Linked DNA regions of Caenorhabditis elegans. The protein of the gene in region 3 interacts with the protein of the main gene of each other region in a pairwise test. Each region holds a gene or a part of one and is shown on either strand. Other genes may lie near its edges.

What was found.
Region 1: the proteins of cdk-14 (region 3) and W08G11.3 interact in a two-hybrid assay, tested with the Caenorhabditis elegans proteins (one large-scale study listed by BioGRID).
Region 2: the proteins of cdk-14 (region 3) and magu-4 interact in a two-hybrid assay, tested with the Caenorhabditis elegans proteins (one large-scale study listed by BioGRID).

What each region holds. Positions count from the first base shown.
Region 1 is NC_003283.11:16,365,768-16,372,618, reverse strand, and holds W08G11.3 (Trichohyalin), read right to left. Parts: upstream 4,939-6,851; 5' UTR 4,911-4,938; coding exon 4,845-4,910; coding exon of another isoform or gene 4,842-4,844; intron 4,233-4,841; coding exon 4,141-4,232; intron 3,970-4,140; coding exon 3,796-3,969; intron 3,016-3,795; coding exon 2,919-3,015; intron 2,761-2,918; coding exon 2,677-2,760; intron 2,625-2,676; coding exon 2,497-2,624; intron 2,401-2,496; exon of another isoform or gene 2,264-2,400; intron 2,213-2,263; coding exon 2,123-2,212; intron 2,066-2,122; coding exon 1,849-2,065; intron 1,783-1,848; coding exon 1,395-1,782; intron 1,070-1,394; coding exon 867-1,069; 3' UTR 507-866; downstream 1-506. Other genes in the region: srv-34 (G-protein coupled receptors family 1 profile domain-containing protein), read left to right, coding at 1-202; Serine/threonine-protein phosphatase 2A regulatory subunit pptr-1, read right to left, coding at 6,020-6,023, 6,738-6,850.
Region 2 is NC_003282.8:10,007,882-10,014,713, forward strand, and holds magu-4 (PDZ domain-containing protein), read left to right. Parts: upstream 1-1,871; 5' UTR 1,872-1,934; coding exon 1,935-2,221; intron 2,222-2,581; coding exon 2,582-2,759; intron 2,760-2,801; coding exon 2,802-3,047; intron 3,048-3,125; coding exon 3,126-3,411; intron 3,412-3,454; coding exon 3,455-3,702; intron 3,703-3,752; coding exon 3,753-3,988; intron 3,989-4,032; coding exon 4,033-4,203; intron 4,204-4,256; coding exon 4,257-4,567; intron 4,568-4,612; coding exon 4,613-4,861; intron 4,862-4,907; coding exon 4,908-5,610; intron 5,611-5,653; coding exon 5,654-5,828; intron 5,829-6,018; coding exon 6,019-6,114; exon of another isoform or gene 6,115-6,164; coding exon 6,165-6,233; 3' UTR 6,234-6,326; downstream 6,327-6,832. Other genes in the region: F44D12.2 (DUF7622 domain-containing protein), read right to left, coding at 6,364-6,481, 6,525-6,640.
Region 3 is NC_003279.8:841,242-848,736, reverse strand, and holds cdk-14 (Protein kinase domain-containing protein), read left to right. Parts: upstream 1-1,973; 5' UTR 1,974-1,991; coding exon 1,992-2,141; intron 2,142-2,245; exon of another isoform or gene 2,246-2,566; intron 2,567-2,594; coding exon 2,595-2,654; intron 2,655-2,737; coding exon 2,738-2,807; exon of another isoform or gene 2,808-2,888; coding exon of another isoform or gene 2,889-2,916; intron 2,917-2,975; coding exon 2,976-3,123; intron 3,124-4,397; coding exon 4,398-4,676; intron 4,677-4,724; coding exon 4,725-5,024; intron 5,025-5,639; coding exon 5,640-5,822; intron 5,823-5,875; coding exon 5,876-6,020; intron 6,021-6,062; coding exon 6,063-6,191; intron 6,192-6,760; coding exon 6,761-6,901; 3' UTR 6,902-6,995; downstream 6,996-7,495. Other genes in the region: ZC123.1 (Sperm mitochondrial-associated cysteine-rich protein-like), read right to left, coding at 7,081-7,113, 7,157-7,495.

The DNA.
Region 1 (6,851 bases), on a different chromosome or scaffold from region 3:
GTTACGTCTTTTTTATCCAACACTATCTGGCAATCTATCGTTTATTAATCCAATAATGCTATTAATGATGAATCGGGATGTTCAGAGCGCGTTTTGTTGCCGGTTTAAGGTAGGTCTCATGGCAGAGAATGGCAGAGAAAAACCTCTTCCACGGCCACGTGTCGATTTACGAAGCTTGTGTACTCGTAGTGGAAAAGTGTGAATTTTTTGTAGAGGATTTTGCAGTACTTTTTTCGCCGAAAATATTCATTTTGCGCAGTTTCGCCAAATTTTTTGTATTCGACGTTAACTGCAAAAATTGACGAAATTAGTGCAAAATCAAAGATTTACGCCCAAAAAAAATTCCCACTTCTCCTCGAGGAGTACACGAGCCGCGTAAATTGACACCGGGCAGTGTACGAATAAAGCTCACCCAAAAAACTGTGTATTTCAGAAATCCCAAAGCACCGTGTCAATGGCGCCCAAAATTGTGCAGTCAAGTACTAGAGATCGATGTTGAGGGAATTTTTATTATAATAAAACTTTATTGATTCAAAATTACTATTAAAATTGACACATACACACGCACGGAGAACCGTAAAACAAATTCAGATCGGGGGAACGAGGGAATGAATATTTTAAAAATTGGGTGCGGGGGACGGGATTTTGCTTTTAAAAAACTCCCGAAAATAGTATGAAAATCATCAAAAATTGTTAAAAAGGGAAGTGTTGATAATTTTGCTAATCTGCGGCGGGAGCTGTTCAGCATAATTCGGGAAAAAAATTCGGAAAAATGAATTCGGATTTTTTTTCCAAACAAAAAAAATATTTTCAGACTATTTTGGGAATTTTGAAGCAATTTTAAAGCCCCGTAATACAAATATAAATTATTCTCCACCAAGCAGAGTCTGCTCATCGAGATCCAATAGTTGACTCGGTGATATCATATCAGTTGGCTCGGCGAGCAGCAGATCCTCCTCAGAGAACTGATTGCAGGCGGCAATGCTAATTTCATCGGACGTTGATTCGATTGTCGAGGAAGTGATGAGATCTTCGGATGAAATGGATGGTCCGGGTCCTGTTGATGGTGCTGAAAATGTCAGTTTCACGTGGTGTCAGAGTGTCTCATTTCGGCTTGATCTACGTAGATCTACAAAAAATGCCGCAGACTTCTCAATTAATTTCGCATGGTTGAGAACGTGCTGACGTCACACTTTTTAGGCAAACAAATCGCGCATTTTTGTGTAGATCAAACCGTGATGGGACAGCCTGACACACACAGACGTAAAATTTTGCACCAAAAGTTCGGTACGTACGGTCTCGACACGACAATTTTTTGCGCCTTTTCTCACTGAATAAAAATTTGTTGTTTCGAGACCGAGTACAGTATTTTTTGCGCCTGATTAATATCTCACCTTCAGTTGTCCCAAAAAGCGGCACAACCATCGCTGGGAGCCGTTCGAACGGCTTTCTCTGATGCCACGTCACAGGTGAATCTACGGGCGGTCCACTAGCCGGCCGAGCCGGGCGTTCGGGCTCTTCATCAAGCCTGATCTTCACTTGAATAGTCTTTTTAAGACCTTCCATCTTCGTTGGATCCGGCCTCATTGGAGTCTTCAGATAGGCTGGAAGTTCCTCGAGATTCTGAACCACTGCATCCTCCTCTTCCTCCATCATTATTTGTTGCTGCTCCTGCTTCAACTTTTCAGCTTTCAAATGCTCAATTTCTTCTTCCATTCTGGACAGCTGCTTCTCGTACGTCGTTTTGATAGTCTCTATGGCAATGTATATTGTTTCCTGGAACTTGTGAAAGTGATTAGAATTTTTCCCATTTTTTCCGGTTTTTTGTCAATTTCCTGCTAAACCTACCACAGTCATCTCATTGTGCACCGCCGGTTTTTCTTGTTTCAATCGTAACTCGAGTTTTTCGATTTTATCATTTGCCGCTTTTAATAAGGTTGCTGATTTGTAGTTTGCCAATCTGATCTCATCTTCTTTCCGGATGAGCTCTTCTTCGATATTTCTTTTGTCAGTGATGCTCGAATTCTCGAGCTGCTGAGAGCTGTCAAGTTCTCGGAGCAGACGTCTGAAATTAGTTTACGGTTTTCTGAAACTTAAACTTTTTTTAAAACTCAAAACTCACTGAATTTCTGCATTGGCCAATTGCAAATCCGCCTCCGCCTTCTTCACATTTAACTGAGCACCTTGCACGAACTTTTGACGGGCTTCCATTCTGAAATCTCGTCTTAAAAATGCGTTCCATTAGAAAAAAAAAATTTTTTTTAATTGTGGTGACAGTTATGAACTCGCGGAGCCGTGGAAGCAAATCCGCAAGTCTTCGAACTTCCCGTACTATTCTCTTGCATCCTTATTAAATCATACCAACCCATTGAAAGGAAAGGCGTAGAGTGCAAGGTGCATGCGGCAGCGGGGGTCGAGCCGAACCCCAGCCGTCTGGCAGTCAAGCGCGTTACCGCCTGCGCCACCAGTGTAACAGCCTCCGTGCTGTCTACTTACTCTTCATGCTGCTGACGATTTTGCGCCACTACCGTCTCGCATTTCGTCTTGAGCGCCGCATTTCGTTCGTTCAGAGCGTTGATTTGTTGGCGAACAATTTCTGATTGATACGTTATTGCTCGGATTTCCTGGAATTTTTTTTTTGGTTTTCAAATTTTCCGTTAAATTATATATAAAAACCTCCTCTTTAGCTTCCGTCGCATTTCTCGCCTGGGTAACATCATCTCGGAGCATCCGATTCGCCACTTCTAGTCCATTAATTCGCTGAAAGTATTATAAACATTTATTGTCCATTTACGCAGGTCGTGTACTCCCCGAGGAGAAGTAAGAATTCATTTTTCGAAAAATTTCACATTTTTTGGCTAAAATTCTTGCTTTTCAACCATTTTTTGCCAGTTTTTGAGAGAATTTTCAGCTCTTACATTTGCCATTTCAACTTTCGAATCATTCATCATTCTCCTCTCGGACATTATCTCGTTACATCGTTTGTTGGCTTGATCTCGTTGGATTTGAGCATTTCTGAGCAAAAAATCGATATATTTTTCAAATTTTCTTGATATTTGCTATAATTCTCCTAAAATATTACACATCAGCAAAAAATGCGACATTCGCGGTCTCGAAACGACAATTTTTGTTAAGTTCGAAAAGGTGTGCGCCTTTAAAAAGTACTGCAGTTTCAAACTCCCATTTTTGCGGAATTTTATCAATTTTTCACGATTCGTAGATATTTAGGTGTTTTTATTGTTCTAAATAATTGAGTTGTTTCAACAAAAAAAATCGCTTTTTATCGAAAAACTGTGAAAAATCAATTTATTTGTAAAAAAACCCCTAAATATTTACGAATCGTGAAAAATCTATGAAAAATTGATAACGAAAGTTTGAAACTACAGTACTCTTTAAAGGCGCACACCGTTAGAATTTAACAAAAATTGTCGTGTCGAGACCGGGTACCGTAGTTTTGACACGAAATTCGAAAAATTTTGCGGCTGCGTAATATTTTCATCAAGCAAAATCACTATCTGAGTAATCATTAAAAAATTCTCGAAAAACAGAAAAAAAAAAGATTTTTCAGCAGAAGCATGGCCTTCCAGAGTCCCTCGTATCTTGAAATGGCAGAGCTGGGAACCTCGGCCGCGGCCATGACCGCGACGCAACTGCTCGCGGAGCGGCTTGTGATTTTTTTTATCATTTTAGCTAATTTTTTTGATGAGCCGCTCCGCGCATGCAGCTGCGTCGCGGTCGTGGCCGCGGTAAAACTCTTCCATTTCAAGGAGCAGAAGAAGCTATTCATGTAATCACCGCAATTCTTGTTGGAGCATTTGACACCGCTGAGCTTCAATTTGTTGACCGCCTTGCGCGGCGTTCAACGCGGCTTTCAGCCGATGAATTTCGGCTTCCAACATATTATTCGTCTGCAAAAGCTGTGACGCCGAGTAGCCCATTGGTTGTGGTTGTACGGTTCCAGGCGGGAGTCTGAAATTTTTGAAAATTGAAACTTTTGGAAAAATCCGATTTTCGGGCAATTTTTCGCGAAATTTTCCTGGTTTTTCCCCTATAAAAATCGAGAAATATGGAATTACAGTAATCCTTTTTGTAATTAAAAATCGATCGTTTCGAGACCTGAATAATAACAAAAAAACCAACCCAAAAGCTGGATTAATATGAATTCCAGCCGTTCCATTCCGTTCGTATGATCTACTGCGGCTCCGTGTACGGGATCGACGCTTGTGTCTATGCTGAAATTATTGATTTTTACGGAAATTTTTGGGACTTTGTGTACTCCTCGTGGAAAATGATATTTTTGCAAGAGGATTTTTTCGATTTTTTCAAAAAAAAATTTTTTGGCTTTTTTTTTGGAGTTTTTAGAAAGCAAATATAGAATTTCTGGAATTTTAAAAAAATTTTTTTTGAATAAATCAACAGATTTTGAGGATTTTTTTCTGGTTTTTTCGATTTCTGGCGTTTTTTGGGAAAAATTACAATTTTTCAATATTTTTAGTAATTTCTCAGCTTTTCTCATCAAAATCCACAAAATTCTGATTTTTCACGGATTTCTGGCTTCCCTCATAAATTGAAATGGACGAGTTTGCCGAACTAGGCCATTCTGGCTCGGCCATATCTGGGGTAGATTTACGGCGCGTTGCGTGTCGCGTCGCGGCTCGTTCTTACTTTTTGCGTTTTTTTTTCGTAAATTTTTTTTTGAATTTAGGATTTTAACAGAAAAATACTTAGAAAAAATCAGCGAAAATTAGCGAAAATGATCCAAAATCAAGAATTCCTGCCAAAAAAAAAACTGAAAAAATCCTCTTTTCCTCGTGGAGTACACGAATCCCGCGTAAATCCACAACCTTCTTATGTCTGCGTCTACTATCTCTATCTCTCGATCCACTACGGCTTCGTCGTCCGCTGTCCATGATAATGACCCGTTTTGTCTGAAAATTTCTGAAAATTTCTTTTCCATTTTTTTCCAACTATTTTGGTGTCAATGATACAATAATGTCAGTCTCTGAGCACTGAAAAAATTCGTCTAAAAATCGCACAAAGAATTCAAAATTTGGGGGAAAAAGTTCAATTCAATCGATATATGGTGTGTATGTGTGTGTGTATGTTTGTGTATATAAATACAAAAAATTCATACAGAGAGAGAGAGAAAGAGGGGGAGAGAGTGAATTTTTTTGTTTCTTCGCAATTTTTGGGACATTTTGAGGAGGAGGGGGATCTTTACAACACTAATATTAAAAAATATTCCATACATTATTTTTGGTATTGATATTTGATACTACTAGAGACAACAGACATACAAAAAAAAATAAAACGGGGCACAAAAAAATGTATATTTAAAAATCTGAAATAGTTCAGTAATATTACCCAGTTGCGGAGAAAATATCGATTTTTGATTAAAAAAGGTCTCGACGCTATCGTGCGCCTTTAAAGGGGTGCTGTAGCAAATTGTTTTTTCGCGGCGAGACCCTAATTTTCCGCCAAAAATCACCATTTGTTCGCAACTCGATAATAGAATTTGGGATACAACAAAAATATTATGAATAGAGAAAAATCTGGAATAAAATATGTGGAAAACGACGACGAGAGAGAGAGAGAAAGGGAAAAGTGGAGAGGGAAAAGAAAAACACGAAGACATGGTGAGCAAAAACACGAATTTTCAGAAAAGAGGGCGAAAAATGGAAGAAATTCAATAAAATTTGGGGGAAAAAAGGAAAAATAATAAAAAAAGAGAAAAATAATATTAATGATGGCGTTTATTTTTTGGTTGGGGTGGGGTGGGTAATGTGTGTGATTTAGCGGGTTTTCGGGGATTTGTGTGTGTACAATTATCGATTGATTTTATTTCAAATAAAATGGTTTCGATCCAGCAGCAGAAGACGAGAGAGTGTGTATAAGAAGGAGACGCAGAGACGGAGAGCATTTTGGAAAAATAGAAGAGGTGCTTATCATCATATATATCACCATTGATATCGAGTTTTTTTTTTTGAAGAAGAAGAATAAGAAATGATTGATAGGAGCTTTATCTGAAAAAATATAGATTTTTTTGGGTCTTGAAGCGATTTTTTTGACGGGAAAAGTATTTTTTCGGCTAAAACTTACGGAAAGTCAATTTTTTTTTCAAAAATTCGATTTTTGAAGCGATTTTTTTTTGACTTAAAAATAAATTTTCCAACCAAAAAAATTCCAGGAATTTTAATTTTTTAAATGTAAGATATTGTGTGTCGATTTACGGTGGTCTTGTGTACTCTCCGAGGAGAAGTTTATTTTCAGTGGGTGTTTCGCTTTAAAAAACTGGATTTTGGACCATTTTCGCAGATTTTTCTAATATTTAGCATTGAAATCGCAATTGTTCGGTTCTTAGGTGAAAAATTGGTGAAAATCACACATTTTAGGATTTTTTTTTCGATTTTTCAGGTTTTTCAGTGTAGAAAAACCAAGAAAAAACTCGAAATTTCTCGCTGAAAAATCTTATTTTTTTTATTGAAAAAAAACTGGCGAATTTGAAATTTTGTTGATTTCAATGAGAAAACCATAATTTAAAAAAAAGAAGTTTTTTTTTGGATTTTTTTACAAAATAATTTATTTTTCGTTTTTTTTTGGAAATAAAATTTTTTAACTGCGAAAATGCTCCAAACCGAGCATTTCAGCCAAAAAAAATGTCCAAAATCGTCAGTTTTAGCTTCTTCTCCTCGGGAAATACACGTAAATCCACATTTCCATGCTCCAAAATTGCTCACTTTTTAGCCGGCGTCGTCGTTTCTGATCCTGTTGACGATTTCTTCACTACAGATGGAGATTTATCACCGCCACCTGCAGTTGCAACTGGCAGTGGCGTCATATTTGGACCGTCC
Region 2 (6,832 bases), on a different chromosome or scaffold from region 3:
CAGTAGAGAAACGAGCGTGTTTGTCCATGCGTCCCATTCGTACAGTTTCTTTGGTTGTCTACCTAAACTCTCTTGTTTTCAAACACTATTTCACCCACCTTCTCCCGCATTTCTCTTTCACTTTCCGGGAGGAACTGTTCGTTCGTCGTGCGCCCATCGCAACCGACCTGTATCTGTATGTATCCTCTCATTTCTCTCTAATAACCTACTTCTCTTCAATCTACTTGGATACATGATTTGTTATGAAATGTTTTATCTTTTATTATTTCATGAAGTTAGAATGTTCCTTATGAAATTGAGTTTACCATCAGAAGTGGATTAGAATTTAGTCAATGGGATTTCAACTACATTTAAATCTCAGCTATGTATTAAAGATAAAATCATTTTCACAGAAATTTTCTATGAATTGTTACTGATAAACGTCTATTTGTAAATTGTCAACATGCTGTGAAATACACCTAGGACTACTAGCCTGAAATTATTCCTCAACTCCAGTGATAGGTTTCTTTGGTATATCACCCTAAAAACTAGTTACACCTGCCTCGTAGGCACGAAAGTAGGCACCCTCTATTTGCATGGAAGCCCTATTATATTATAGGTAATTTTTCAGATTCACAAGAATGACATGTAGTTCAAGTTCAATTAAAATTCCTACATAAAATTCCCTACTCCTTCTCCTACTCTTTTCATTTTTCTATTTCATCTCAATTCAATTTGAACAAACTTCAAACAATTCGTTTCACACATCACAAACATTGTAAATACACATATATCGTTTGTTGAAAAAAGTCATGTGGGTTTTTAAGGTTAAAGTTTAACCGATTTTATTACACTATCTCTCACGGTTGAAATATTCAAAATAATATTTTCTTCTAGAAAACAGCGTTTCTACATATTCTGTTAAAGCTAACGGCCTAAATTTTAAATCGACTCTATTTTTAAAAAATTGATCAGGTTACCAACTAGCGATGTTTTATATTTTGTTCAAAGGTAGGAGCTCCAAAGTTTGTCAAAAGTCAAAAAAAAAAGCTTAAAGTTTACCAAGAGCCAAGTAAAAATTTATATTATCGAAACATGGAAAAACGTATCAAAACATAGTTTTTTGTTAAGATTCTCTGCCTTGTATGTTTGTATTTGAGGCGATGATGATGGCAAGACTCGTATGTTTATTCTTTTCCTTTTCCTGCAAACTCGTCTTTTAACGGATTATTTCGGACCCATGCACCGCCCATCTTGACCGTATTAAGACAGTTTTTGTGTGAATTTTCGTTGGATCGAAACACTGTGAGTATTGTTTTTATTTTGAAATATATGGATCTTATAATCTGAATGTTCAGTTGGAATATCGCAGTGTGGCTTTTGATCTCCGCACACACTTCATCTGATTGGTATAAAAATATGTGGAACAAATTACTGATTATTTTCACAGTTTTCATTTTGAAAGAAATTCAAACAGTGAGCTTAGTCAGGTTTTGGGAAAATCGTTATCGAAAGTTGAGTTTTTCAGTATTTCTAGTTTTTTTAGTGTTTCGTTTGTGGTATATGTTCCTTCATTTCATTAGCAAAACAATAACGTTGGTCTGTATTTCAAAAATCTGTCATGTATTTCCAAAAGAATATTTAAAAACATCTCGTTTCTATTTTCAAGTGCCTCTATTTTCATTCTTGTAGTAACCTTCAAATTCCAACTAATTTTAACTGTTAATTGAAGGAAATTTCTTCAAATTGTGTTATTTCTAATTCACCCGTCTTCTTCTTTTCCTCCATCTATTCCATACGAACCGAATGAACAAATCAGTGTGATATTCCTGCGCATTCGACCGGTTTCTCACTTATTTTCTTTCTATCTTTTCTCCTATTCCATCTTCTATAATTAGTCCTTTCCGTATGTCGTCCAGTTGACCCATTTCTCCGTTTTTCATTCAGAATTCTATATGGTAGAAGTGGAAGCAAAACCGTCGAGTTTGTCAGTTGAAGAGGATGAAAATGAAAATGAAGAGGAAAAGCTTGAAGATGTGGAAAAAGAGAAATTAGTGAAACAGTTAAAGTTTGAAAAAGCAGAACGAAGACGGATTGCAGAGGAAATGGAAAAAGAGATTCGAGAAGTTGAGGCAAAATGGATGGAAAAAGTTAGAAAAGCATCTGAAGAGCGAGATGATATTGGAAAGAAAATTGATGAGTTTGAAGAGAAAATTGATAGTCTACAAATACAAGTACATAGGTTAGTTCATGATTTAAATCACTAGAAAAGCTCAAAAATGTTTATTGAAAATTAAAAAGACCTGGAATTGGTACCAAAATGTATATGATAAGTGGTAGTTAACTTCCTGAAATTTCGAAATAAAATCAATATGTCATTTTTGAGAGAATTTGTTGGTGCACTTTAAACTAGAGAATTGTCGATCTGAAACTTTTCGGGCCAGTTTTTAATCATAATGATGTTGTAAAAAATTTGAATGGCTTTAAAAATTTGAAATTCAAGTTTTTTTAAACGTTCGAAAATAATTTTCAGCAGAAGAAAACTAATAAATATTTAAAAACCATTGGAAAATGGCCCGTTATGAAAAAAAATATATTTCAGAAGTGAAACATATAAAATGGAAATTGAAGAAGCGAACAAACGGCTACGGTTACAATATGAAGCTCTCCAGAGAGATTATGAGGAAACAATGCAGGAAAGAAGTATTGTATTAGAAGAAAACTCTCGTCAAAATGAAGAGAGGGATCGACTGCAAAAAGAAATTGAAAAAATGAAAGAGGTTTGATTTTACAATGACAATCAAATTAAAAAAAAATTTCAGGATTCTGAAGAAGTTGCTGCATTAAAACAGAAACTTGAAAATACAAGAAGACTCTTGAAAGTCAATATGGAAGAAACTGCTCAGGCAAATGCTCGAAAAGAAGCTGCAATTGCAAGGCTTACAGAAGCAGAACAAAATGGAGCTAGAATTACAGAAGAAAGAGATGAAGCTTTGAGAAAATGTCAACAGACAACTGGAGATGCAATTGTGGATATTTGGAATACTCATTCTGTTCAAATTAATTTGGTAAGTTGAAAGAAAACTCATTTCAATCGTTTCGTTTCAGACAGCCAAGATAAAAATTAAAAACGAAATTAATTTCAGCCCTTCAACAAACCAAACTTGGGAATTATGCTTGGTGGAGGCCGTACGGACGATGGTTCAATTGTTCATGGTCCAATATATGTTAGACAAATTGCTCACGGTTCTCCATTTGATAATGTATTGAAAAAGCTGGATCATATAATGATGGTCAATGACATATCTGTAACAGATATGGACGAAAGAAGTGTAATGGGAATGTTATCCAACTGTCATCACATTCATCTTGTTATTAGAAGAAGATCAAATTGCAATAAAATTAGTGATGTTTGTCTGCCATTGAACTATGGTGAGTTACTTATTACATTTAAGAGTGTAGTTTTACATTTCAGGTGTAGGTCTTGAACTATCCAATGGAGTATTCATTAATTCCTGCGAACCAAACGGTGCTGCTTCTCGTAGTGGATTGGCTCCAGGGCAACGAGTTGTTCATGTTATGCACACTCCTGTTTATGATGCTAAACATGCTGAGATGCTAATTAAAAATTCTCGAGAGCCTCTAGTCATTGGAATTCTTCAATCTACTAAACGAGGTGATCATAATGGAAAGGATAAACATCGACAAACTATATTTTCGAGGGTAAACCTTCGTTATAAAATGCTAGTGAAACTTTAGTATTCTTGTTTCAGTGGTTCAGTCGAAATGGTGGATCTGATAAAGAGCGAACTGTTGTTGCAAAAGCGAATATTGATCGTTCAAATGATCAAGTTCTTCTTCGTCAGGGATCTCTGCGAATGCCACAAGCTTCTCCAGCATCAATGAGTCCCTTGGTACGGTATGGTTCTCTACGTGCTCCAACCTATTCAAGTAGCATTGATCATACAAAATTAATGCTGGATGCACTGGATAAAAGATTCAATGCAAAGTTAGTTTCCTTCAAATTTGATTACTACAAAGTTGAATGTTCAGATCCACAGCGCATTCTGAAATAAGTTCATCTTCAACAGCCGCTCCAACAGCTTTATGGAGCCCATCTTCAGTTAATGAAAAAGATCTCGTATTTGCTGGAACCAATATCGAAGGAGTTCCAGTATATGTTCCTAAGAGTACCATATTTAGCACACCAACGTCACCTGTGACGTAAGATTCTTGACATTTTTAGTCAAAAAAAAGAAGAAAACTCTGACTTTCAGAAGACTAATCCGTCAAAATAGTGAGCAAAAACGAACAATGTCTCAAATATCATCTCATCGAGGAGGATGGGATGGAAGAAGCTTTTCATCGAACACGACAACTTCAGATGCTCGTCCATATTCTATGCACTTCACACCTACATCATCAACTATAATGGAAGGAAAACCCCACAGAAGATCAGCTGTTTACAGTCCAAGTCATCCACCAGTATATCCTACAATTCGGGATGACTCTATGTCTTCTGTTATGTCTTCGAGTAACTCCATTCGACTTCCAAGCACAAGTTTTTCCAATCAGTATCCTAATAATTGTAGGTTTTCAAAAGTTAACTGCTGTAGTCTAGAAATTGTTTCAGCTACCTGCAGCTTGACTGGAGGGAGTGGAGTACCTCCACGTCATTGCATAAGTAAAGATGGAAGTGATTTTTCAATTTCAACAACTGGAAGTGCAATGCACAGTTACGCTGAGGGAAGATCCAATAAGAAATATCACTTGCCACGTGGAAATCATCACTCTGAATCTCTTCTTGTAAACCGTTCATCTCAACCGAGACTGGTCGAGGTTCCAAGAAGTGATGTAAAACTTTGTGGTGGAAATGCGATTGGTACGAGAAAGCAATTCATGTCAAAATAATCTCCGCTATATTTTAGGTATCCTCGCTGAAAAATCAATTGGTTCTGACCTTCTCGAAGGAGATCTCATTTTATCAATCGATGGAAATTGCGTTCGAAATACAACACTCGAGTGTGCAATGAATACTTTATCAGCTGATAATTCGGAGTTAACAGGTCTTCTAGTTCAAGACGGTGGAGATCGATTGAATCGTTTGAGACTTGGAGCTGACGGTGACAGTTTCTTCCTTCGTGTTAATATCGATAGATCAATGGAGAACAAAGATGAACTGGATTTAAAATGTGGTGATGTTGTTTTCGTTGACAAGACTATGTTAATGGGCAAAACTGGAAGATGGAGAGCATGGAAAGTGGACAAAGAGGGACGACAAAGAGAACATGGAGCTATTCCAAGTTCAACGACTGTTTATCAGGCAATTCGAGCTAACAGATATGCAAATCCGTTCCCGAAGAAGGCTTATGAGTGGGTTGAGAAGTTGGATACAAAAGTGAAACGACCGGTTCTTTTGTTTGGAGCAGTTGTTGAGCCTTTCCTTCAAATGCTTGTTGATGAATCTGATAAGTTTTCAATTGTTGCAAGAGAGTCTTTAACTGCAAGTTTGGATGAAGTATCGGCTTTATTGAAGGATAAAGTATTGATTGATTCGAAACAAAACGATGATGTTTATGATCTTTATCACGTCGTATCAACTGCTCATATTATGGATATCACGGCTCAAGGGTTGAGTTTTCAAACATTTTCATAGTTATGCTGAGATTTTCAGACTCCATTGTGTCCTCCAAGTTGATCAGTCTGCAATTGATCGATTGAAAAGATGTAGAATGTTCCCTATTCTTGTGAAGATTCGATTCAAGTCAGTTAAACAGTTAAAAGATGTCAATGAACATATTTGTGGAGAGAAAATCAGTTCAAAAGAAGCCAAACAGCTTATTGAAAAGGTACGGTAATTTACGAAAACATAATTAACCCGCCCGGTCTCTACCGTCGTCTCATTGCCTCTCATCCAAAAACGCAGCGGGCAATTGAAGAGGCGGATCAGAGGCTCTCATCGGAGTCTATAGAAACTTTTCACAATACTTTTTCGAAACTTTTCAAAAAATTTTCGATATACCAATAATTAATTTTCAGGATTTGAAAATAGAAAAAGATCTTGATGGATCAGTTACACTTGTAGTGCCAAGTCATAATAATGTCAGCTTCATGATGACTCACGCTGTTCTACAGGTAATTATTCTTTCAATTCGTGCCGCACTTAACTTTTTATTATTTTTCAGCTGAAAAAAATAATTGAAGACGAGCAGAAAAAAATCGTATGGGTTCAAAGAAAAGTCGATGAAGAATAAATAATATTGAGAAAGAGAACATAGAATCTCCGGTGCTTTTATTGTTTGAAAATGAAGTAATTTGAAGAAATATAAATTTGTTCATATGAAAATATTGAAAGCATTTGTAAAAATGAAAGAAAAAGGTGGTTCAGTGGAAAAGGCAATAATTAATTAGAAAAACGATGGGAATGGCAAGAAAAATCGAGGATGACGAGCGAGCGGAGTCGATGTAGAAAACATTGAACTCTCGGAGATTTGATATATTTCTGAAATAATCAAAATTATTTCTCAGTTGTCAAGAGTCACAACCTGTATAAATATAGCTCAGGTGGCCAAGAGAGTTCAGCTGATTTGAGATCAGCATTACAGTAAGATTGATCACAAATCCATTGCTCTAAGCCAGTGTATGCACGGGTGTAGCCAATCTGAAAGCAATAATTCGTAAAAATCTGAAATCTGATAATAATCGTTTAACGTCTAATTACATCATCAGTTCATTTTTTAAAGTTCTTTAAAAATTATCAGAAACATGTTCGAAATTTTATCCAAAATTTTCATAAATTCGAGTCGATAATTATTTTCTGTTTTATTTAAGGCTCAAAAGGATTTTTGAAAAA
Region 3 (7,495 bases):
GCCACGTAGAAAATTTTTGAAGCTTTGAAGGATTTGGAGGTGTGGCCTTGAATAAAAGTTGGTGGCCGAATTTTCTCTTACACGGCCAAGTAGTGAAAACCGCCCATCGAAGTGGTCCTGTACTTCAATTTGAGCAAAAAAGTTTTAAAAAAGTTTGTGGCCGAACTTTAGTATGCACGGCCATTTTCCACAAGTGGTTTCTTTTTTATAAAGTTTTGGTAAACCTTTTTTGATAGCCCGAAAAAGTTAGTGGCCGAACTTTCTCTTTTACGGCCACGTAGGTAAATATGCTGGGCCAAATTTTTAGCGTAGAAATTCCAGTGACCTAGTTTTTCCCTCTCGTGGCCTAGTTCTCTAGAAACTCTTCGACATTTGGTTTTTGAGCTAAAATGAGCCAAGAAAAAGCGAAAAATAAGGAACAATAGGCACACTTAGAATGACCAATTACTATTTTATGAGAGAAGCGCCGCCCGTCTTTTTTTTTCTTCTTTTTTCCCTACTTATTCTCTCCTCTGTCCGCTATTAATGCATTTTAAATTTGGCATTGTCATTTTTTGTCATATCTGAAAAAAATTTCAAAATCCCACGGGGTTCTGGCCTTCCTCATTGAATTTTCGCGCTCCATTGACAATCGCCTGCCGGACAACGCTTGGGAAAGTCGTGTACTCCACACGGACAAATACATTTAGTTTTACAACTAAAATCGAGCCGCGACGCGCCGTAAATCTACCCCGAATATGGCCTGGCCTAGTTCGGCAAAAACTCTTCCATTTCAACTTCTGAGGGACGTCAGAAATCCGTGCTAGTTGTGTTTAATTTTTCTTCACACATTTGTTTATGTTTTAGAGTGGCCTATGCAACGACACTCCGATGTTATGCGCGTGTTGTTTAGAAATAAGCCACTAGGTACATACTAAAAACTGTGAAAATTTAGCACCTGGATCGTGGCGAGACCCACTCGGAAAATCAGCGTGTTCCTTTAAACTGACATGTCAAATTTGAGTGATGTCCCTGCATATTCATTTTTGAAGTTCTATCACAGTTGGGGAGTAATGCGAAAACTCTTCCAACTCAAATTCTCCGGTGACCTAAAAACTCGGAAAACTCTTCCACCAAGCAGTGGACATGGACCTTAAATCTACGAAGAAAACATGGAAGGTGTGTAATGTAATTTCAAAAAATTATTTTTTTTGCCCAAAAAAAGGACAGTAATGGCTGAAAAATGGCTGAAAAAAATTTTGGAAACAATGAAAAAAATTGTCTAAATTTGTTGAAAACGGGTAATTCATATATGCAGAATTCAGAAAATCTAGGTTTAGAAAACTATTAAAAAGTGGCAAAATTGAGCAATTTTTGTAAAAAATTACAATTTTAAAACTCTTCTAAAATGGATAATTTTGAAGCTAGAGGACTCAAAATTGATCTCCGAACCTTAAAAATTGTCTTCTTGCATAATTTAGTAGTTTCGAACATTTTCAGAGAAAATTTTTTTTTGCCCGAAAAAAAGGACAGTCATGGCTGAAATATGGCTGAAAAAATTGGGGAAAAAATGTAAAAAATATCTAAATTTGTTGAAAATTTTTTGGGCGAAAAATTCCCGCATTTTTTGTAGATCAAACTGTAATGGGACAGCCCAGGTGTCTCTAAAGATTCCCGGTAACCTAGAAATGCCAAAACTCTTCCACCATCCAATTTCCTCACTCTTCCTGCTTCCTGTTTTTCACCGAACCCACCCAAGTCATTTTTCATCTGTCTTTTTTTTCTTCTATTTTCTTTGTTTCGAAACGGCTGAAAATGGGAATGTGGAGGCTTTAGTAACCCATTAACGCCCCGCCGTCACACCGGCTTCTCCTCTTCTCATTTCGTAGTACGGCTCCCTCCTCCGAGCAGCTCTTCATTTTTCCACCCCCCCCCCCGCTGCTCCAAATTATTCGTTCACGTTCTTTTTCCCCACCCAAAAATTTCACTTGCAGATACCATCTTTCAATCAAATGTGGGGAAAAATAACCTCGCATATTGGAGTATGGTTTGGGCTGGAGGAGGCCGAGAGGCCTATGAGAGCATCGTGCTCACTGTCTATGATACATCATCCACAGCTCACCGCTGTTAGGAGTTCGAAGTCGTCGGAGAACTTGCATAGGGTGAGTTTGGTATTTTCAAGAAAAATCGAAAAACCGAAAAAAATTATAAAAATTGAAATTAAAAAAACGCCTCAAAAACGAAAATTCGTCGATATTTCGATTTTTCGATTTTTCAAAAAGGGTCATTTTTTGAAATCCTAGGCCACAGTCGGTCGGTAAATGAGGATATTTCTTGTAAGCCTAGGCCTAAGCGTGAACCTAGGCCTAAGTCTAAGCCTAAGCCAAAGCCAAAGCCAGAGCCTAATCCTACGCCTGAGCGTAAGCCTAAGCCTAAGCTTAGGCCAAAGCTCAAGCCTAAGCCCAGTCCCAAGCCTAAGCCTAAGCCTAAGCCTAAACCTAAGCCTAAGCCTAAGCCTAAGCCTAAGCCTAAGCCTAAGCCGAAGACTAAGCCTAAGCCTAAGTCTAAGCCTAAGCCTAAGCCTAAATATTTCGATTACGCTCCACATATTCCAGATCACCACAATGTCGCCGCAACGAATTCAGGACGTGGACGGCTCGCCGAGCACCCGGAAGGTCAGTAAGTCACGCCACCCCCTCTAAACTTCCGGCGATTCTGCATCTCTTCCACAAGACACAAACACAAAACATTATTCCAGCCGTCCTCGTCAATTTTCACTTTGCGTCGGAGTCGGAATAAGGAGAAGAAATACAAGAATAACGGCGGTGGCGAGTTTTTTTTTTCGAAATTTTAGCCAATTTATTCTATGGGGTGCGGGGGGTGGCACAAGTTAGTCAGTTTACACAAAAATGCTCTCCAGAGTCTTCTCCCAAAAAGGTTAGTTCCGAAAACATATGAGCCCCCATATAATTCCACATTTATTTCTGTTTTTTCAGGAGGCTCCACCAAATCTCCGATCTCGAAAAACGGAACAAATGAAATGACACAATCATGGCACTCCAATCATGTGAATGGGGCATCATCGGGGTCCGGAAGTGGAAGCACACCAGAACATCATAATAAGAATATTTTCAGCTTTTTGAGGTAAGTGGTGGAGATTCTTATTAGGTTGTATATTGAAGTAAGACTATAATTACAGTAGTTTCGACACCTTGTTATGTTTGTTATAACTTACCACGTGGTGTCAAAGTGCCTCATTTTGGTTTGATCTCCGAGAAATGCGGGAGAAGAGACGCAGACTTTTCAACTGGTATCGCATGGTTAAGAGTGTGCTGACGTCACGTTTTTCTGGGGGAAAAATTCCCGCATTTTTAGTAGATCAAACCATAATGGGGCAGCCTGACACCACTTGACTTACTAGTTATATCTGACCACAGGCAAAGCCGGTACGGTCCGTTTACGGATCTTGGACCGGGAACGGACCATTAACGGGTGAACTACGGATATGAAAAGCGGGACGGACCAATTACGGGCAAACTACGGGGAATGTAAAAAAATGGCCATTAAGAGGAAAAAATGGATTTTAAGAAAACGAATTTTTTTAATACCTATGATACCAGTTGGCTAATTTAAGCATTTTTACGTCGTTAAATGCATTATTTAGAGCAAAAAACACATTTACCGACCGAGACGGCTCTTGAGCCGTAGTTGGGCCGTTTCCGGTCCGTAGAATTTTCTTTTCAAAAAAAAAAAATTTGAATTTCCCGCCAAAATTTTTTTTTCTCAGAAAATTTGATTTTCCCGCCAAAATATTTTTGTCAGATAATTTCAATTTCCCGCCAAAATTTTTTTTTCTCAGAAAATTTGATTTTCCCGCCAAAATATTTTTGTCAGAAAATTTCAATTTCCCGCCAAAATTTTTACAGAAAATTTGAACTTCTCCCCAAAGTTAATTCCCAGAAAATTTGAATTCCCGCCAAAATTTTTTGGTCAGAAAATTTCAATTTCCCGCCAAAATTTTTTTGTCAGAAAATTTCAATTTCCCGCCAAAATTTTTTTGTCAGAAAATTTCAATTTCCCGCCAAAATGTTTTTCTCAGAAAATTTGAACTTCCCGCCAAAATGTTTTTCTCAGAAAATTTAAATATCCCGTCAACACGTGGTGTCAGGCTGTCTCATTGCGGCTTGATCTACAAAAAATGCGGGGATTTTTCCCCCAGGAAAATGTGACGTCAGCTTAATCCTGCAAAATCAGTTGAAAAGTCTTTGTCTCAACTCCCGCATTTTTTGTAGATCAAACCAAAATGGGGCACTTCGACACCACTTACGCCAACATTTTTAATCAGAAAATTTAAACTTCCCGCCAAACTGTTTTTCTAAGAAAATTTTCCGAATCAAACCCTAGTAATACCATTTCAGCCGCCAATCACGTTCCCGCTCCAACAATCCATCTGAAACCATGTCAACCGTGCCCCTAAACAAGAACTCTCCATCAATGCCACCACCACCATCTAGCAACACTGTGGCCGACTTCACACATCTTCGAAGACGTCGACCACGATCAGCACACTACGATCCAAATACGATAACGCTTCCTGCGAAGGAGGAAGTGACACCGCAGGATGTGAATGATCTGTACAAACGAATTGACAAGCTGGGGGAAGGATCTTATGCAACGGTGTATAAGTGCGAATCGAAGTTAGATATTTTAACAGCTGATATTACCAAACTAAATTATATTTTCAGACTTGACGGATCCATAGTCGCCTTGAAAGAGATCAAACTTCAATTTCAAGAAGGTCTCCCATTCACCGCTATCCGTGAAGCCTCGCTTCTCAGAAACCTCCGTCATGCGAATATCGTCTCTTTGCACGACATCTTCTATCAACACCACCAGCTAACTTTTGTGTTCGAGTACATGAAAATGGATTTGAGCAAGTACCTGGAGCAGAACGTCTATGGGTTGGATAGCATTGACATCAAGCTTCTCCTCTTTCAACTTCTCCGCGGACTCGATTTTTGTCATAGGAAGAAGATTCTTCATAGGTTAGTTTTCAAACTGCTCCCTAGTGTTGATAGGGCTCCCAGCAGAGTGAGGCGCGAAATTCGGGCCTCACGCCGACGCCGTTGAAGCGCGAAAGGTGGTCATTTGGAGCGGCCGACACGTTCGGGGTTCCGCAGCTTGGCGTGAAATGAGTAGCCTGGTGTGTGCGCAATGAAGTGCGTAGAAGTGGTTGTTCGGAGCGGCCGACACGTTGGGGGTTCCGCAGCTTGGTGTGTGCTCAACGTATTGCGAAAGGGAGTTGTTTGGAGCGGCGGACACGTTCAGGGTTCCGCAGCTTGGCGTGAAATGAGTAACCTGGTGTGTGCGCAATGAAGTGCGTAGAAGTGGTTGTTCGGAGCGGCCGACACGTTGGGAGTTCCGCAGCTTGGTGTGTGCTCAACGTATTGCGAAAGGGAGTTATTTGGAGCGGCGGACACGTTCGGTGTTCCGCAGCTTGGCGTGAAATGAGTAGCCTGGTGTGTGCGCAACGTAGTGCAAAAAAGTGGTTGTTTGGAGCGGCGGACATTTTCGGGGTTCCGCGGAGGCCGGCGCGGCGACCGCTGGGGTCGGCGGAGGCGCCGTTGCGGCCATAACTCTTGATAAAAACTGATTTTCAGAGATTTAAAACCACAAAACTTGCTTCTCGACGAAGACGGTGTTTTAAAACTCGCAGACTTTGGTCTAGCCAGGGCGAAATCTGTGCCGAGTAGGACATATTCTCACGAGGTGGTCACTTTATGGTACCGCCCGCCTGATGTTCTCATGGGAAGTACCGACTATTCAACTTCCCTGGATATGTGGTAGGAGGATATTATTTTATAAAAGGTACCAACTATATCTACTAACTTTGCAGGGGAGTCGGTTGCATATTCGCTGAAATTTGCACGGGCGCCGCTTTGTTCCCGGGATCCAAGGACTCTCACTACCCCGGCACCAAGGACCAGTTGGATATGATCTTCAGCATTCGGGGTACTCCAGACGAGAAAAAGTGGCCGGAGGTGAGGGAATCTAAAATCTAGAGATAAAGATGTTTGTTTCAGGTAAAGACATTACCAGGCTACACCCCTGAACTGTTCCCCAGGTATCGGGAGTTGTCGTTCATCGCGGTGAACCCGATGTTCACGAAGATTCTGAAGACTGGTCAGGAACTTCTGGGGATGCTTCTTCAGGTAAGTAGACTTGTAAAAACCACTCCTTTAGTCCCGAAAAGACCGAATATCATAATAAAACGTTTCAAAAAAATTTTGAAAATTTTTTATTTACTGTAATTTTACCACTCATAATTTTGGAAGTCGACCAACAAAAAAAAAATTTTTTTTCCTACATTTTTATACTGTAATTGTGTTTTAATTATTTGTATTAAAATATTGTAGGGGTCGGAACATGCGACATTGCTCTAGATTTCCTCAATTGCTCATTTTTCAAAATTTTAGCAGTTTGCCAAAAATTTGACCTGAAATTGTGAAAAATCTAATTTTTTGGATTGTTTTATTATGAAATTTGGTTTTTTTTTCGGATCATTATGTATGTATTTTGACAAAATTTTCACTGGCGCTACTCCACCTTTAAGTCAGTCCAGGCCTACTAGTCTAATCTTTGACAAATCAGTCTTCGCGAGCTATATTGAGCAGCAATCTTTGAGTGCAAGCTCAAGCCGAAAGCTTAAGCCCTGGCTGCAATGCTAGTCTAAATGAATCGACATCGAGCTACACCTATCTTGTAACCCTCAAAATTACAGCTCCGCCCGGAAAGCCGTGTCTCCGCAGCCAGTGCAATGCTTCACCCCTACTTTGCCTCATTCCCCCGCGAGGTTCATCTCCTGGCTCCAAGCCAGTCAATATTCCGGCTCAAAGAGCTGAAAGATCTGCGATCACTATAACGACCAAATCTACTACATCTCCAATTTCTTTACACATATTTTCTTGCTCCAAATTGCTACGGGTGCTAAAAGCTAATATAAATGTATGTATGTACTTATTTGTTTTATTAGTCATGTTGAATTATTATTACGAGGTGGTATTTATGTGATATGTGAGAATCGGAGGGAGTCGCTTCAAGTTATGAACGTGTTCCTGGGCATGGGTAGCATTGCTGAAAACTTTAAGATAAGGAAGCTCATTAAACCAACACCTACCGCTGTTCCGAAGTCTCTCTTCCTCCGCTTCAGACCAGTATCCTGTGTACAGATGTTACAGTCTTCTCCCAAAAAGTTTCTCTTCACTCTATGCCGACACTGTGGGAATGCCATGCAATTCTGCTCCGAGACGTTGATATTCGGCTGCCCGAAGTTTCTCTTGACACGATGTGGCGTGAGCCCAGAGACTCCACACCTCGAGCACTTCTTACGACGGAACACGGCTTCTCGTTTGGTTCTCTTGTCTGCATAGACTTTTTGGAAGACTGCGTACTCGACGTTGTTCAGGCAATCGTCACTTTGTTGGCAGGAGCGGCGTTGCTTTCTGCGGGTCTCGAT